Drosophila melanogaster: one gene and its partner. The protein of the gene in region 1 purifies or fractionates together with the protein of each later gene. This does not show direct contact. Each region holds a gene or a part of one and is shown on either strand. Other genes may lie near its edges.

The links.
Region 2: the proteins of arx (region 1) and Su(var)2-10 purify together in Drosophila melanogaster (affinity purification with western blotting, with the first as the bait; one study listed by BioGRID). This does not show direct contact.

Annotation. Positions count from the first base shown.
Region 1 is NT_037436.4:18,900,037-18,903,411, reverse strand, and holds arx (asterix), read left to right. Parts: upstream 1-1,857; 5' UTR 1,858-1,939; coding exon 1,940-2,092; intron 2,093-2,160; coding exon 2,161-2,511; 3' UTR 2,512-2,817; downstream 2,818-3,375. Other genes in the region: CSN1b (COP9 signalosome subunit 1b), read left to right, coding at 1-267; CG6843 (uncharacterized protein), read right to left, coding at 503-1,531, 1,610-1,681. UniProt on the Drosophila melanogaster protein: Acts via the piwi-interacting RNA (piRNA) pathway which mediates the repression of transposable elements during meiosis by forming complexes composed of piRNAs and piwi proteins and governs the methylation and subsequent repression of transposons.
Region 2 is NT_033778.4:9,114,376-9,121,374, reverse strand, and holds Su(var)2-10 (suppressor of variegation 2-10), read right to left. Parts: upstream 5,254-6,999; 5' UTR 5,053-5,253; coding exon 4,924-5,052; intron 4,758-4,923; exon of another isoform or gene 4,219-4,757; coding exon of another isoform or gene 4,198-4,218; coding exon 3,523-4,197; intron 3,459-3,522; coding exon 3,218-3,458; intron 3,161-3,217; coding exon 2,926-3,160; intron 2,870-2,925; coding exon 2,703-2,869; intron 2,637-2,702; coding exon 2,548-2,636; intron 2,488-2,547; coding exon of another isoform or gene 2,476-2,487; coding exon 2,328-2,475; coding exon of another isoform or gene 2,302-2,327; exon of another isoform or gene 1,623-2,301; coding exon of another isoform or gene 1,544-1,622; exon of another isoform or gene 1,465-1,543; coding exon of another isoform or gene 1,422-1,464; exon of another isoform or gene 1,270-1,421; intron 1,076-1,269; coding exon 837-1,075; 3' UTR 598-836; coding exon of another isoform or gene 569-597; 3' UTR 559-568; downstream 1-558. Other genes in the region: Phax (phosphorylated adaptor for RNA export), read right to left, coding at 5,442-5,656, 5,715-5,991, 6,045-6,136, 6,192-6,924, 6,983-6,999.

The sequences.
Region 1 (3,375 bases):
TTAGACGGACAGATCCAGGCGCGTATTGACTCCCACAATAAGATCCTGTTCGCCAAGGAGGCGGATCAAAGGAACAGCACCTTTGAGCGGGCTTTGATCATGGGCAAGCAGTACCAGCGTCATACCCGCATGCTTGTTCTTCGTGCTGCAATGCTCAAGAGCCACATCCACGTGAAGAGCATTTCCCGGGAGGGTGGAAGCAACCACGGCGCCGAACTTTGCGTCTCCGCCGGATCCTCGACAACTGCTCAACTCGCCCGAATCTAGAGCAATTTAAAAGCACCACTTAATACCCAATAAATTTTTTAAGATATGTATATCACAAGCTGGCAAAATAAATAATTATAGCAAAGCTAATGAATGATTTTAAAAACTAGTTGGTTCCTCAAAAACGAAAAAGCACCATACTTCATCGTGTAAATGAAATATAAATTAAATTAGAATTTTAAATATGACGATACAAATTGATAAAAATTTATTGGTGGGTTTTACAAAACTAATTCTACCGCCTGGACCGATCTCTGCGCTCCCTCTCCCTTCTTCGGTCTCTGCTAAGCGATCGCGAGCGATCTCTGGAGCGGGATCGATCTCTCCGATGCCTATTTTCATTGCTCCGCCGTTGGTAGCTATGATCCGAGTCCCTAGTCCTTTGATGTCCATTTCTTTTGTCGTCCCTGTGATTGCTTTTGTGATTGTCCTCGGAGTCGCTGCTGTCCGACGATGAAGAGGAGTCTGAGCTATTGCTAACTGAGCCCTTTTTGTCTTTTCTGCTCGATTTGTCCTTCTTGGATTTCTTTTTCTTGCTATCTTTTTCGTGCCTTTCCTTTTTTGATTTCCTTTTTGTGGGCTTCTTGATGCCCTCGCCTTTGCGCTTCATTCGTTCAATCTTCTCCAGTTTCTTCAACAGCTTTAGCTTTTGTTTCTTGGACAGGGATTTGAGAAAAACTAGTTCGGGATTTTGGTCATCGGCATGAGCGTCCTTCTCGCCATCGCTGGGCACCAGTTGATGTTGCTGTTGAATGGCCCTTATGCTCTGCAGCTCCTGTGCCGATCGCTTCATCATGAGGCCATCCTCCTTCATCTGTTCCTCCAGCACGTTTTTGGCCATGATGTCGCTGGCCTCTGTTTCTGCGTGCAGTTTCCGTGCCTCGCTCATGGAAATGCTGTACATGGTGCACTCCTTGTCCGTGTTGATGTGGCCCCACTTGTGGCACTTGAGACAACGCACATTTCTCACCTGGATGCCGAAGGGCTGGTCCCTGATCTCGGTGTCGCCCTTGCAGTACGACTCTCTAGGAGCGTTGTACTTTCGCTGCCACTCGAACTTGTACTCCGGCTCGTTGTCATCTTTTTCGCGCTCCTTTCGCACTCCTGGCGGTGGCTCGTACATGAAATTGACGCTCAGCTTATCCTTGCTGTCCTTGCTGAGCATTGCCTTGTTCTCGTGCAAATTCTGCTCCTTTTCATACTGGTTGCGTAGCTCCTCCTGCTTCTTTTTGTACGCCTCCGCCTGCTGCTCCGCCATCCAGACCTGCAGAAGGTAATCCCTATAGTTTTAGGCGTTTTGCTGGGGAAGAACATATTTCATCAGGAGCCCGGAGCCACTTACCCTTTTCAAGTTGTCCCTGGAGGCGGGGTGGAAGAATTTCTTGCACATGTAGTTGTTGAAGCCCTTGCCCATCTTGCTGCTGTGCAATTTCGCTACCAAATTGCAAACAAATAACCAATATACAACTTTTATAAATACTTTCCAGCTGCGATATCAGGGCACTTTGACTGCGCTTATCGATAGGCTAAGAAAAGTATCGCATTTCATTATCGGTATAGTAACACAAGTAGATAAAGCGTTGCCGGACTGTTTGTATTTTACGAATACATTTTAAAAGCAACTCGAAACCTTAGGTTTTGTTTCATGATGAATAACTACGACGAATCCGATATGGTTTATTGCCCGTACAACAAGGAGCACAAAATGCTGCGCAAGAAGCTCCAGCAGCACATCTTAAAATGCCGTGTGATCTACAAAGACACGGTGGAACTTATGGTTTGTCCCTTCAATAGTTCCCATTTGATACCAGAGCCCCAGTTCTTTGTGAGTACAGAATATACGTAGTAGTTACCTTGTATGTCCTATTAAAGCCCAGCTTTCTGCATACGTAGCAACACACCCAATCGTGCGAGGATCGAAACATTATAGTACACTATCAGACCAGCGCTCCTGCTGTCCTCAGCGAAGACACCAGACACGCGAAGATCGAGTCCGAGGAGAACTGGGATGACGACGAGAGTGTGCCCGATTACGATCCTCAGGTCTACTGTTCCAGGGCCAACATAGTGAGAGAGCCCAATGGGTTGTTTCCCGCCCAGCGAAGGGCTTTCATCGAGCAGGAAAAACGTCGTCACTTTGGCGAGGATTACGAGGAGGAGAAGAAGCCGCGGAAGGCCAAGGCTCGCGCGGATCTTCGTCCCACTCCCTACGAGCACAGGAGGCCATACTCAAGGCGCCAGTAGTTCGTGTTCATCAAGAATTACTCCCACTGCCAAAGAACAAAAACCAAAACATTTTATCGGGGCTTATACTCGTTATTATAACCAAAAAAAACAATTCCACGGCCAAATTGTTAAAATTAACATGTGCTGTGAAACAAGTATTGCTCGCAGTTCAGATGAGCAAATGACAAAATCAATCTCATATTATTCTGAGATAATGAAAATAACATACATATCCCAAATTCATGTACATGTGTAAACTATGTGCCTTTTTCCATTAACGACACAGATAATCGTGAAATAAAGCATTTCACTTTGTTTCTTATCAAAAAAAATACTCGTTTCTTACTCTTCCTTAACCTATCAGTTTATCCCCAACAATACCTTTATTCGTTTATACCTTTAATTCGTTATTGCCAAAGTGGGTATATAAATAGGGGAAATCCGACGTATATTGGTTTCTTTAGTTATCCTAATAATATTGGCTGTTTTTCAAATCGGTCTGTTCTGTTTATTCTACCTACAAAATGAAACTCTTTGGGAAAGTTAAATAGCTTTGAAAGTTTGCTGTTGATGCTTATCAAGATTGTATAGTAGGAATACACGATCGATTATACATGTAAGTAGCCATTACGTATTAAATCTGCTATTTTTGGATTTTTGGTTACAAGCTTAACTTAAATCAATCATTTGACTATTAATTTGAATGGATGGATGCCAAATACAGCATTTTATAAGTCCAAATTCAATGAAAACTCTATTTCAAGCTAATGCAAGTCAATTAAAGGTTTTAACTTTTAGAGTAACAAAAATATGGAGAAGATGGCAGTATAAGTTATATCTGAAACAGAATCTAATCGGGCAGTAATCAAACATCAATAATCT
Region 2 (6,999 bases), on another chromosome or scaffold:
TCCGTCGTTTCCAATCGATTTGCATTGATAAAAACGGCTTCGATTGCTTTCAATACTATGGACCTTTAATGCCATATGCCATTCCGCCCTGTCTTGCAACGTAACTTAAATGCGAGGACTGCAACACCCTCCAACTGCACACAGCACCGCCTCCAATCCGTACAGAATCCGTAGTTTAACTAAAATAACTTAACTACTTTAAATTTTGGTGCCGCGACTGGCCGCCGCCTGGCATGCATCCTTTCATTTCGCTTTCCTCATAGTGTTCATTGCGCTGACCGCTTCAATGGAAAATAAATTAATTGCGTTTCCTATAGTAATTGCTAATTAATGCTGGTGCTAGTTTGTGTATTTGCAATATCTAGGAATATTTCAGTTGCTGTGTGGTGTGGCGTGTGTTGCTGAGAGCGCTGGCAAAGCGTAACACAACTAACTACTCGAGACGACACGAATAAAAGACACGGGACGTAAGCAAAGTGTTTTGGTGTGAGCCAACTGAAAAAAGGGGCAGCAACAATCTGGCCGATGGGGGAGCACATGGATTCATTCGGGAACAGGGGACCCTCTCCTACAAAACCTGTCTGTTATGCCTGCGTCCTGCAACACAAGAATTACAAGCATCAGTTGGTGGCTCGCGATTGATAGAGTATGAATAATGAGGTGATGCAAGGCGGCGAATCGAACGCCGAAGAATAGCCTCTAAGGTAATATGTGGCCGTGCGCCACCGGAAGTGAAACCGAAAACAGAAACTGGACGGGCCAATATAGGGACCATAACAGTAAGAGACCGCGAGCCGCGAGATGTGCGATTAATGTGTGTGGGATGTGGGTCCTGCCTACGGGCCGGCATTCTGGCTCTGGCCGGAGGACGCCGTGGCAGCTGCAGCAGCCGCAACCGCAGCCAGATCCAACAGTTGGAAGTGCTTTTGATCCGCGACCGCAGCAGCCAGGGATTCCAGGAGGGAGGCATGGACGGCTGCCGTCGCTGGCTGCTCGTGCTGTTGCTGCTGCAGTTGCTGCTCTGAGACTGTCTGCTTCTCTGGCGATTGGCGGCTGGCCTGCTGTTCTGGGGATTCTACGAGTTGCATCGGCGGCAGCATGGACGGGTCACACAAAAAGATCAGGGGAAGAAGAGAAAGAGAGAGAGAGAAAGAAAAAAGACAAAGAAATGCACAAGTTACTTGAATTAGTTTAGTTATTATCATCATATAACCTTGGGTTTAGGTTAACACAACAACAATCGGAAAAGAGGCTCTCAACAAAAACCTTCACTAACAAACTGGCATGATTTATTAAAATTATCACTTAAAATAAGAGTACATATCGTGAAATAATTTAGATTCGGTGACAACAGAAAATACATTGAAAATGAATTAGGACAAATGGTGGTATAAAACCGAAAAATACTCTATTAACTTTGCTTAGCCGACGTTTGGGCGCCTTGAGCTCTCTGGCTTGGGTTTTCTGTAAGAATGTTCTGATTAAGTATGGGATTCTTGTTCCAAACCCGAACCATTTCACAATCGATCGACGGAAAACATACCGTGGGCGCAGCCAAACTCCTAAATGAACACGCTTGTAAAGCTCCTCCGCTTTCTGAGGTTTTTTAAAAACATTACCACCTACAATACAAGCAACGAAAGCGGATAGAGTCAATTTATAGCCTACTTAGTCTATACAAGTTTTGGCTAGGGGATTTTACGAAATCTACGGAAACCTTTTCGATGCTGGACTCCGTAGATCTAACACAAAATTATCATGATAAATAGCCCTTCTGGTCACTTTTTTGAAACATAAACATATGTTTGTACATACTACACGTAAAATTGGGTTAATTTTAACTGGGTGTACTCATACTAAAATCAAATGATGCACTAAAGTCATAAGCGGAATCGGGGACCTAATTATATTTGAATAACAATAAGTGATGATGAAGTCAGAATCATATGTAACATATATGTAATTTTCATTTTGGACAATGTGAATACTCTTTCGAACTTTTGCAGTTAAAATTTTCTAATATTATTTAAGACAATTGATGCACCAAAAAAATACTTTTACGTTAAATGATGTCCTAGAGGTGTGCCGTAAAAGGTGAACCGAAACCTAAATGCTTGATCTTGTTAGGATTTCATTCCTTTGTCTAAATTATTGGTGCCGAAGCGTGGTTGAGTCAGTGTGGATGTATGTAAATGGGATGTGTATGGATTCTTATAACTACTTTACCCTAGGGTCTACAATTAGCAATTTGTAAACATAAAGATTTCTTGGCTATACAGAGATATAATTCTCGTTACTGGCTTATTGCAAAAAGGGATCCAACGTACCGGATTGCTGGGGCTGCTGTGCCGGGGTATAGGCACGTTGGCCGCCACCGCTGCCGTTCGACGTGGAACTGGCGACGGCTTGCTTGGCGGGCGGACGACGCTTAGCCAGCGGCATGTCGTCGTCTGAATCGCTTAACGTTAGGTCAACCTGTTGCGCAGACAGAATACAGTCATATGATAAGACAGTTTGGTAGGTTGTAGATTGGTGCTCTCTACTTACAGTTTCACTGTTTGACGTTGATGTGGGCTGTTCGTCCTGTGCTGGGGACAAATCCCTCTTTACTGGCTTGGCGTCATCCGAGATAAGTTCTGGTAATGTCCGAAAAACTTGATTAATGTCAAAACAATTTAAAAGGTTGCGTGTTAGGCGATTACCTATGTCATCCGATATAACCTCAACCTTTTGGGCGGGCTTTGAAGGCGTATCAAGGATCTGCGTCTCGCTCCGTAGTCCTGGTGTGCTCCAAGATCCATCCTGATGAAGTTGAATCTCAGTATCATCACTCTTTAGAAGCGACGAGCCCAACACCTCCTGGAAGTAGCTGGAAAACAGAGTTTAATCAGTTACAAATATGCTAAATGAAATGACATTTCTTACCCATCTATGACCAGGTTGTCATAAATGGCCGGCTTGTCGCATACAGGGCAGTTCCACGTGGGCTTACGCTCATTCATTTGCAGGTAGAGACTGGCATCGAAGCATTGCAGATGCGAGCAGGTTGATGCTCGACAAGGCAGCAACATTTTCATCTTGCCCAACGGGCAGTTAAGGGAAACCTTCAGCATAGTGGTGGCTATTTCGCAGTCAGCATCCTCAGTCAGCTTCTCTTTGACTTTAAAAAAATGGTATTTATTATTAAGTTTGCATCATTGGAGCACAGAAAACTCACTTAAGCCTCGCGTGTAGTCCGCTGGTTTTACGCCCTTCGTCTTCATTCGCTGCAAAAGCTGTGTTGAGGTGAGCTTCTTTACCAGGTATACGGCCAGACAGTAGCTACGAGTGTAGTCCGGACACCACTGAACCGTTATGGTGTTGGTGACGGTAGGCGACAGCTTTACATTGGACGTGACATTAACGGGTCGCGGCGGACGCTTGGGCTCCACATTTGGTCGGTTTGTAGGAATGACATTCTGCATTGGAATAAAGAGCAGGATATTATACCAGGTCCTGATTGGATAATCGGATAATACTTACAGGCAGCTGACAGAGTTTGTTGTTCACTTTGACGTTTACGTTCGGCGGGAAGCAGTCCTCCTGGTCGCACGAAGTCTCCACCAGGCAAAAGCGCAGTTGAACCTGAATGGCGTGCTCCACCTTGGAGCTGTTGCGAATGTCGCGATTAGAGGCAATCTCGGTGGCCTGCTGCGGCGTGAGCGTGAAGTAGAAAGGCACCTCTTGGACGCGCTGAGTGTTGCGTGGCACCAGAGTTGAAGGCTTAATTAGCGTTCCGAGTACATCGTAGAAGGCTAGCTTTTTCAGCCGCACATCGGGGTGAATAGGCAGCTGGCTGTTGATGCTGTGTGTGTGGAGGAAGGGTGCGCCGCCGACCACATTCATCTGGCCGCCGGGCACTTGCACACCTTGGCCGCTGCCCACGAGGCCCACGGGATTGGGCTGCACGGTGGGCGGCAGCTGGATGTGCGAGTACATCCTGGTTGGGTCGATGTACTGCAGCGTGGCGTTTTGTTCCTGCACGGACTGGGCGTAGACTTCCTGGACCTTCGGGGCAAGCAGTTCCAAGTTGGTGCGCAAGAACGAGAGGATGCGGCTCTGCAGGTCAGTTTTTCGTCCAGCGAATGAGATGTTCAGAAACGACAGGATTTTTTGCAGCTCGACCACTCGAAGCATCTGCACCATTTGCTCACATTCCTGAAGAGACGGAAATGGCATGGCGAACAATGAAAATTTTGTATTTCGGAAAATTGGGAAGGTGTCTATGTCCAAATAGCGGGACTTAGCACCAAGCGTCCACACGAACACACACACAAGCGCGCTCTATATGCAAATATCGCGTTTTCGCACATATGTACACATGCGTATGCCTTGTGCGGCTTTATGCAGAAAAAATCATAAATTCGCTCTACATTATATGCCAAGTGATTGCTTGACAGTCGGACAAAAGCCTGGCTTCCACATTTTTCCCATCTGTGGATAATTTACTGGTCCGAAACTGCCGCATGCCACCAAATCATTACCTAGATGCTCAAACATGGCGTTCTCGCAAAAAGTTTCTTTTCGTGGAACCGATCGGGTTTCAGTGGCTTTTAACGTTGGTATATGCAGAAAATTTGGTAAGGCTTGTGTTCGCCACTGGCAGCCTTCCTTCTTTCGCAAATTGCACTTAAACAAACTACCGCAAAAATGCCCCCTTTTTTGTCACACGAATTTTGTTTTGTCCGCACGGTCTGAAGAAATATGGCGGATGATAGTGTTGTTAAGCGCCGGCGGATTTGGCTGGCAAATCACTCTGTTCGTGGGTGGGGAAGGGTACAGACACCATTTTTTTCTGCGGTCACACTGCTTATCAATAACCATGGCCCCCATATTTATGAAAAATTCTTTGGACTGAATAAACTGAGACTGGCGGAAACATACCTTGTACTTGGTGGAATCAAAGGGATTAACTGCTATTGGCGCTGACGAAGTCGACTGGTGCCCGGGGCTCGAAGATGTTGCGGCATTTTCCGCCTGCGTGCGAGCCGTCTGAGAGCGGGTCTTTCGCATCACTATTATTTTCTATTCACGGTGGCGTTAGGCGTTCGGCAATTGAAGTCGCGGACTCGTTTGCATTTGCCTGGGACGCGCACCACACATAAAAACAAGCAATTGCCGCTGTTTTTCAACGAATGCGGAGAAACAAAAATATTTTACGCGGCGTCGTCGCTGTGGGCCGACTAGAGTTGACACTATCGATCGACACTGCGGAAATCTCTACCGCCTGGCCGAGTCTTGTCTCACGCAGCCCGAAAATGCCCTAACGCGTGCGTTTGTTTACTTTGTTAGCAACCGTTACTTTCGTAGATTCCTAATTCGCTAGGCATTTATTTAATTGTACAAATATGGGTCTATCTATGCAAGAATAGTATAAAAGGGGCCCGCCGCTTGGCGTGGGCCTAGAAAAAGTCCATGTCCCCGCAATTGACGTCCAGAAAGTCGTGGTCGTAGCTGATTAAATCCTTCAGCGGCGCTCCCTGAGCCGCCGCCGCTGCTTTGGATGTGGAGGGAAGTTCCGCATTGTCCACAAGATTTATATTGATCTCGTGGGTCCTGTACTCAGGGCTGTCGTGCTCCTGCTCAGCGCCAACAGGGGAGGGTGGCGGGTTGGACACTGAAATAGTCAAAATAGTCACATAGGAGATTTAACAATAATAATGGGATCTTCTTACAGCTGCCCGGTTGCTTATCTTCACTTTGCTCGTCGCCCTGCATGTAGTACTCTTTGCGCTGATTTAACGTCGGCAGTTCCGTAACCTGCTTGCTGAGGCACTTCTTCAACTCTTCCACCTTACGGTCCCGCATCAACGTTTCGATCTGCTTTCGAGACTTGCTCAGACTCTGGCGATCCTCACTAAAAATGCGCTTCTGCTGCTCCTGAGTGATGTTATCGTGGTGCTTTATTAGGAACAGGAATACCCCGCCTGGTGTACGTCTCCGTATGCCGTTCTGTTTCGAGGTATCGTGTTAGTATATTCGGGGGAACATCCTTTACTACTTACTTTGATCATCATGCCGCCATCGGCTTCAATGCGCTGAGTTTCCTTGTATAGCTCTAGGCACACATCTATGCCAAGAACCTCCACGACTCGAACTGGTAAAACTGGCATTATTTACTAAGTAGGGCATTATTTATTTCACATACTCACCAAGTAATTCGTCCTTTTCCTCGTACAGTTTGCTGGCCATTTCGGTAGCCACATCCGAAGGATCTCTCTCACCCACTTCGTTTAAGTCCAGAATGTGTCTGGGCTCGCAGAAATCGGAAGATCCGCTGGCCGAAGATGTCCCACGACGTGACCGGTGACCCGTTCTACTCTTGACCAAACCGCGCTGTTGATTCCCGGTGATGGGCCGACTAGAAGGTCTTCCCCTCTTGTGAGCTGGATGGGAGCATTCGCCGCCGTCCTCCGAAGAGTTTGAGAGTCGTCGCTTTAGAGTGTTCTCGCCGTTCAGCCGGTATCGCAATGAGAAGTCGTAGTTTTCAACATTTCGATCCCGACCGCTTCGGGTAACGTCGCAGCCACGCATATTCTCGCTGAGCGCATCCTCTTGCAGGGCAGAAGCCCACACGTTGTACTTCTTGAAACGGGCTCGATTCGGTTGCATTTCAGCATCCGTGGGCGGAACGCGCCGCATTACCGTGCGCCGAATGCGCTTTTTCCGCTTCTTGTGGCCGTCGGGTCCGGTGGATTCCGTACGAAGCTTCTTGATGCACCCGTCCTCGGAGGATTCGGCAGTCGAGGAGTCGCTGTTGCTTTGTGACTCGTCCTCTAACGCAGTCTGGATCTGATGGCAGGTGGTAAGGGGACTGGCCACCTTCTCCGCACCGTCAGGTCGCTGCAACGGCGTGTAAACGCCATCATCGTCGCTCTCCGATAGCTGAAAGGCCGGCAGATATGGTCATTAGATGCTCGGTAGTCTGGGTGCTTATGATTACCTCGCCGTCCTCCAGGT